Rattus norvegicus: one gene and its partner. The protein of the gene in region 1 purifies or fractionates together with the protein of each later gene. This does not show direct contact. Links are inferred from orthologs where the notes say so. Each region holds a gene or a part of one and is shown in the gene's direction. Other genes may lie near its edges.

The links. The genes of interacting proteins can lie anywhere in the genome.
Region 2: the proteins of Exoc6 (region 1) and Exoc8 purify together in Homo sapiens (affinity purification with mass spectrometry; 4 studies listed by BioGRID and IntAct, counting the BioPlex papers as one, with this or other methods). This does not show direct contact. The link is inferred for Rattus norvegicus from reciprocal best matches to the Homo sapiens genes EXOC6 and EXOC8.

What each region holds. Positions count from the first base shown.
Region 1 is NC_086019.1:244,785,020-244,788,579, forward strand, and holds part of Exoc6 (exocyst complex component 6), read left to right. Parts: intron 1-813; coding exon 814-923; intron 924-2,558; coding exon 2,559-2,670; intron 2,671-3,560. UniProt on the Homo sapiens protein: Component of the exocyst complex involved in the docking of exocytic vesicles with fusion sites on the plasma membrane.
Region 2 is NC_086037.1:69,752,054-69,756,059, reverse strand, and holds Exoc8 (exocyst complex component 8), read left to right. Parts: upstream 1-1,183; 5' UTR 1,184-1,337; coding exon 1,338-3,488; 3' UTR 3,489-3,673; downstream 3,674-4,006. Other genes in the region: DNA-dependent metalloprotease SPRTN, read right to left, coding at 587-807. UniProt on the Homo sapiens protein: Component of the exocyst complex involved in the docking of exocytic vesicles with fusion sites on the plasma membrane.

The sequences.
Region 1 (3,560 bases):
AGGGCTCTAGAGGGTTATGGCAGGACACTTGGGGCTCTCCTCTAGCCTCTGTGTGAACAGACATGGCCGCATACATACTCTGCATACACCACACGCTCGCACTCTACATCATACACACATATACATATATCAAAGCAGAATGACACAAAGCCCCCTGAGTCAGGAAACTGGCCTCTTCTTTTCCTGGCCACCCTGGCTCTTACAAATAGAAAGAAGCAGACAGGTTGCCTACATAGTTTGTGTATTAGCAGAACACAGAGAGTGTAGCCATGTGCAGCCTGTGCTTGACAGAGTCTCCACTGCGATCTAAGCAGACGATTAAATGGCTGTGGGTTTTCTGTTTGTTTGTTGAGGCAGGGTTTCTCTGTATAGCCCTGGCTATCCTGGAACTCGCTCTGTAGACCAAGCGGGAGTGCTGGGATTAAAGGTGTGCACCACCACCTCCTGTCAATGGCTGTGTTTTTAAAAAGATTCTGGATTTGTCTAAAATTAAACATAGGCTAGACTTGGCAGCACATGCCTGTAATCATAGCCCTTAGGAAGCAAAAATCAGGAGGACCACAGGTTTGAGACCAGGTAGGCTACCTAGTGAAATCCTATCTCAAAACTGCTACCTACCACCTAACTAAACGGATGAAAGTGAAAAAGTAAAACGTATAAAAATGATGTAGAAATAGAACCATAGAGTTCTCATACAGTTATTCACATTCACTTGTAAAATCATCTTACATTTTTTAACCTTTATAAGAGACTAGAATGTTGTTTTCTAAAAAGACAAATCTCAAATGCAGTATCAACTTTCTCTCTTTACAGCAATCCTTCCCAAAGAAGTTTCCCATGTCCCAGTCAGTGCCTCTTATTTATATTCAAGTTAAAGAATTTATTTATGCCAGTCTTAAATTCTCAGAGTCACTACACCGAAGGTAAGCTTACTCACATGAAATCTGCTTTTTAGGAGACATTGACACTTTATTTCTAGACCCTGACCCTTCAGTGGACTGTCGTGGACTGTCGTCTCACTGGAGTCGGGCTAACTATGTCTCGTCTTTAACTTCTGGTTAAATTAGTGTTGAGACTCGTATGCTCGTATGCTATATATGATTTGGTTCTTTTTTTTTTTTTTTTCGGAGCTGGGGACCAAACCCAGGGCCTTGCGCTTCCTAGGCAAGCGCTCTAACCACTGAGCTAAATCCCTAACCCCGCTATATATGATTTGATAGGAAGGGTCTTCGCCCCAGCGTCTAGATTTAACAGTAATAAATATTTCGCCATATATTCTTTCCCTATTTATTATTGTTAGTGGTATTTTATCCCGTGGCTAAGGATGTTTTGCCTACACGTATGTCTTTGCATTATGTGTGTGCCTGGTGCCTATGAAGTCCAGAAGAGGACACTGGGTCCCGTGGAGCTAGAGTTAATGCAGCTGTGAGCCACCATGTGGGTGCTGGGAATTGAACTTGAGTCCCCTGGAAGAGCAAACATTGATCTTGACCACTGACCCATCGCCTTGGCACCTTTGTCCATTATGTTTTATTAAGACATTCGAAAGAAAATTTCAGAAGTCATGACCTTTAACCTTAACTGTGCAGCACTCACTCCACACTGTGCTCCACACGGTGCTACCAGTTACTTAAAACCACAGCGCTAAGTCTGAAACATTAATGGCTTTAATATTGTGTGCCTTGGTAATTTGAATGTTTTTACAAATACTTATGTCTAAGCTAAATGTTGGTTCTTTTTTTTTTTTTTTTTTGAGCTGGGGACCGAACCCAGGGCTTTGCGCTTCCTAGGTAAGCGCTCTACCACTGAGCTAAATCCCCAGCCCCTAAATGTTGGTTCTTAAAATACAGAAATTCACATTCAATTAACATACTGTTAAATTTGGAGAAAGTATAGAAATTTAACGTTTCGGAATGACCTTTATATGAAGGCTGTTAACATTTTACCGTTGTTTAAGGCAGGAGTTCTAATGGGGTAATTTTGGTTTTCTTTGCTGCCCACTGTCCCCTACAATTGGCAGTGCCTAGAGACTTGGTTATCCCAGCTGTGGGTAGGAGTTCTCCCTGGAATGAGCAGGTAAGGACCAGAGGTGCTGCAGAATGTAGCGCACAGCACATGCTCTGGCATTCATGTGGCATCATATGCCCAGGCAAGCACTTCACCCTGAGTGCACCCCTAGGCTGTCGCCTTATTTTAAAAGTGACTTTTAGCTATGACTGTGTATAAAGTACTTCACAAAGTGACTATTCCACAATGGAATTATAATAGTGCTTTGTATAATGAACCTCATTTTTTTTTGTCTCAATTGACTTGATAATTTAAATTGTCATAAGTGAACATTCTGTTTTATGGGAAATGATCCCCCTTAAAATGAAATTGAAGTTTGTAGCTTAATGAGTTACTGTCATTCATAAAGAATAAACCAGAGGGACACATGATTTATATATGATGTAAAAGATAGGACAGAAAATTACTTTAGTGAGATACATTACATTATAGAGAGTGTATGACTGATTTCACTCTTAGAAAGCTTTATCCATGTGGATGTTTGTTTTTAGCTCTACAGAAATAGACGATATGCTTAGGAAGTCAACAAATCTGCTGCTGACCAGGATTCTGAGTAGCTGCTTACTGAACCTCATTAGAAAACCTCACATAGGTTTGACAGAGGTAAGAAGAAATAATGACCCGATGTTTTGCTGTGAAAGAATTGGGGCTGGAGAGATGGCTCAGAGGTGGCACACACGGCTTTTGCAGGAGGCCTGGGTTAGACTTCAGCACACACACAGCAGCTCAGAACCATCTGTAGCCAGTTTCAGGGTATCTGATAACTCCTTCTGGCTTCTGTGGGCCCCAGGCACACTACATATGTCATGCACAGGCACACATGCAGAGAAAACACCCATACACATAAAATAACAAAAAATTATAAATTGCTGTAAAATATTCTGTAGAGTAGCTTTGCACTTACAGTTTATTAAGGTAAAAAGACTTTCAAAAAGTAAAAGCATCAATCCAAGAACTGAGAGAGAGGAGCTAGGGGGATGGCTGGATGGTTAAGAGCACTGCTGTCCTTGCAGAAGACCCGGTTCACTTCCAGGCACTGAAATGGCAGCTAACCATATCCGTAGCTCCAGATCCAGGTGATGTGACCCCCTTTTCTGGCCTAATGTGCACGGTGTACAAGCCTACATGCAAATAAGACACATATATTTTTAAAAAATCAAGAAACGTGAGGGAAAAGCTTCCCTGGGGCATAGTAGACAGCTGGAGGTTTGAAGGGCGTAGACCTCAGACTTCACAGACAGTTGGGATCCTCAATTTGTACTTGTTACGTGTATGAGACCCACAGTTGCCATGGAAGGTCATTTCAAAATAATTGGCTGTGGACTCATAAAATGTAAATATTTTTAAGACAACATAAATGCCCGCAAGCAGTATTTAGGGCAGAGTTTTGAAATCAGTTGTATCTCGTCTTGCTGGAATTATGCAGAAGTAACAGAGGCAGGCTGGAAGTAATGACGGAGTTTTTTAGAATCAGGCGGTCCTGTACCGGTGTG
Region 2 (4,006 bases), on another chromosome or scaffold:
CGGACAATGGATTAGGTTCACCCAATGCACAAAGGAGACAGAACAAAAAACAAACCCTCGCCTGGCATGGTGGCGCAGGCCTTTCATCCTAGTCCGTGGGAGGCAGATGCAGGAGGATCTCCCAGTTCCGGGCCAGCCTGGTCTACAGAGTGAATTCCAGGGCAGCCACAGATACATAGTGAGACCCTGTCTCCAAAAAAAAAAAAAAAAAAAAAAGAGCCAGCAAATCCTTATCCTTGGGCAGTTCAACGAAAGTCCCTGATAGAGGGCTTTTTAATAACACTTGATCACCCTCACACCCTCACCCACTGTTATCCTCTCTGCTCCGCACCGGGACTTGTCACGGGGCCGATGTGAAGTTAGAAGTACGCTACGTCTCAGCCTGCTTCAGCTCAGGCTGCTATGTGACGGTGTATATGCAGGGCAGATTATTATCTAGAACAGGATTTCTCAAACTCAGTGGGTAGATGAGGGATCCTGCTGGTACATCTCTGAGAGCCGTTGGGCCACGAGGAGGGGACACACCAACGACAACTCAGCGCCCTTGCCCTTCCCTACGTTCCGAGCCGTTCGTGGGCGCACTCACAGTGTCATGCGCACACTCCACTTCACCTCCACGGCCTCCAGCTGACCCCAGAAGAAGCGATCGTTAAACTGCAGGAAGAGCGCCTGCAGGTCCGGGGTGGGGTCCACCAGCTCCCAGGACGCGTCCACCAACGATAGGGGCTCCCGCGCCGCCGCGCGCCGCGCCGCCTGCACGTCCCACTCCTCCTGCAGCCGCAGCGCGACCACCAGATCCTCGTCCATCCCGATACTCTCACTTCAGCCGCTCCCAAGACGCCGGTCGGGCTCGTGAGGCGTACGGATCTCGCGAGACCTCCCGGCCCCGCTGTCAGGGCGCGCGGGCTCGCCTCGAACGCCTAACCGAAGGTGGCTCGGCTCTGCCCCGCGGACACAGACTTAGGAACGCTGGGCTCGGGGTAGGGACGGCTTCAGGAAGCCAGTTGTCTCCAGACCGCCGCCGAGGTCCAGCGCCTCACGTCAAGTCTGGTCCGTGCCCGACCCTCCTCTGACTTCCGTACTGGCCCGTCCGCGCACGCGCCTTAAGACGCTGCCGTTTCCGCGCAGGCGCGTCGTCGACACTCCGCCCCGGGCGCAGGCGCAGTGTGAGAGTCTCGACTTTGGCACAGGCGCAATGCAGCGCTCGGCCCCGGCGCAGGCGTTTGGGTGTTGCTCCCGCCCCGCTTCCTCTACCGCTTCTCCACCGGGCTCGGGTGGGGCCGGGAGGCGGCGAGTGACAGCCACTGCGGGCCGCGGGAGCAGGGCGGGTGGCAGCCATGTCGGACAGCGGGGCGAGCCGCCTGCGGAGGCAGCTGGAGTCGGGGGGCTTCGAGGCGCGGCTGTACGTGAAGCAACTGTCGCAGCAGTCGGACGGCGACCGCGACCTGCAGGAGCACCGACAGCGGGTGCAGGCGCTGGCGGAGGAGACGGCGCAGAACCTGAAGCGCAACGTCTACCAGAACTACCGGCAGTTCATCGAGACGGCGCGCGAGATCTCCTACCTGGAGAGCGAGATGTACCAGCTGAGCCACCTGCTGACGGAGCAGAAGAGCAGTCTGGAGAGCATCCCGCTGGCACTGCTGCCCGCCGCTGCCGCGGGCGCATCCACGGGTGAGGACACGGCGGGCGCGGGACCGCGGGAGCGCGGGGCGGCCCAGGCGGGCTTTCTTCCGGGGCCGGCCGGAGTCCCTCGCGAGGGCCCCGGGACGGGAGAGGAGGGCAAGCAGCGAACGCTCACCACGCTGCTGGAGAAGGTGGAGGGCTGCAGGGACCTGCTGGAGACACCAGGTCAGTACCTTGTGTACAACGGGGACCTGGTGGAATACGAGGCAGACCATATGGCCCAGCTGCAGCGAGTGCATGGCTTCCTCATGAACGACTGTCTGCTGGTGGCCACTTGGCTACCACAACGGCGAGGCATGTACCGCTACAACGCACTCTACCCACTGGACCGCCTGGCTGTGGTCAACGTCAAAGACAATCCACCTATGAAAGACATGTTCAAGCTGCTCATGTTCCCTGAGAGCCGAATCTTTCAAGCGGAAAATGCCAAGATTAAACGCGAGTGGCTGGAAGTGCTGGAGGAAACCAAGAGGGCGCTCAGCGACAAGAGGAGACGGGAGCAGGAGGAGGCAGCCGCCTTGCGTGCGCCACCACCGGTCACTTCCAAGGGCAGCAACCCGTTTGAGGATGAGGCCGAGGAGGAACTGGCCACCCCGGAGGCAGAGGAGGAAAAGGTTGACCTTTCCATGGAGTGGATCCAGGAGTTGCCGGAAGACCTGGATGTTTGTATTGCGCAGAGGGACTTTGAGGGTGCCGTGGACTTGCTGGACAAATTAAATCACTATCTTGAAGATAAGCCCAGCCCACCTTCTGTGAAAGAGCTGAGGGCCAAAGTGGATGAACGAGTGCGACAGCTCACCGAGGTGCTTGTGTTTGAGCTCTCCCCGGATCGCTCTCTGAGAGGTGGCCCTAAGGCTACTCGAAGGGCAGTGTCTCAACTGATCCGTCTCGGCCAGTGCACTAAGGCTTGTGAGCTGTTTCTGAGGAACAGGGCGGCAGCTGTGCATACTGCCATCCGCCAGCTTCGAATTGAGGGCGCCACTCTGCTCTATATTCACAAGCTGTGCCATGTCTTCTTTACCAGCCTCCTAGAGACTGCACGGGAGTTTGAGACAGACTTTGCAGGCACGGACAGTGGCTGCTACTCTGCCTTTGTGGTCTGGGCAAGGTCTGCCATGGGCATGTTCGTGGATGCTTTCAGCAAGCAGGTTTTTGACAGCAAGGAGAGCCTGTCCACTGCTGCCGAGTGTGTGAAGGTAGCCAAGGAGCACTGCCAGCAGCTGGGAGAGATTGGGCTGGATCTCACCTTCATCATCCATGCCCTCCTGGTGAAGGACATCCAGGGGGCCTTGCTCAGTTACAAGGAGATTATCATTGAAGCCACCAAGCACCGAAACTCGGAGGAGATGTGGCGTCGGATGAACCTGATGACTCCTGAGGCCCTGGGCAAGCTCAAGGAGGAGATGAGAAGTTGCGGGGTCAGTAACTTTGAGCAGTATACGGGGGATGACTGCTGGGTGAACCTGAGCTACACTGTGGTAGCCTTCACCAAGCAGACCATGGGCTTCCTGGAGGAGGCACTGAAACTGTACTTCCCAGAGCTACACATGGTGCTCCTGGAGAGTCTGGTGGAAGTCATACTGGTTGCTGTGCAGCATGTGGACTACAGCCTGCGCTGTGAGCAGGACCCAGAGAAGAAGACTTTCATCCGGCAGAACGCATCCTTCCTTTACGACACTGTCCTCCCAGTGGTGGAGAGGAGGTTTGAGGAAGGTGTGGGGAAGCCTGCCAAGCAGCTGCAGGACCTTCGGAATGCATCGAGACTCCTGCGGGTGAATCCTGAGAGCACCACGTCTGTGGTCTGAGGCTCTGGTTCGATGCTGTGTGTGCGTCTGTCTGTCTGTCTGTCTGTCTGTCTGTATGTATGTATGTATGTCTGTACACACACATGTACTACAGATGCATTGTTTGTATTCACATTACACAATATCAACACATTCCTCAGACACAAACAGCATATAAAAGTGCCCTCTTAAAAATGCAGTCAAAAGAAGAAAGATAATGTGTTAAGTGCTCCCTCCCACATAGAGGGATTATTAGAGCACATACTGTGCTTTTTTTTTTTTTTAAACTCTTTAAGGAGTGTATGGTCACAGCAGCATTTCAGGTCACTCTTTAACCTGAAACACACTTGTCACAGTAGCACATCCTGGAACATTGCACTTCTGTGCTGCCTAGAAAAATATGCAAGTCCACAGGGTTTAAGTTGTGAAGCATTCCAGTTCAACAAAATGGCTTCTGAACGGTCATTGCTGTGTAGCGCCCCTGTGTCATGTACTCAAGAAGCAAGCCAAATTGGGAAGAAATGAGTTGGCTTGGGATA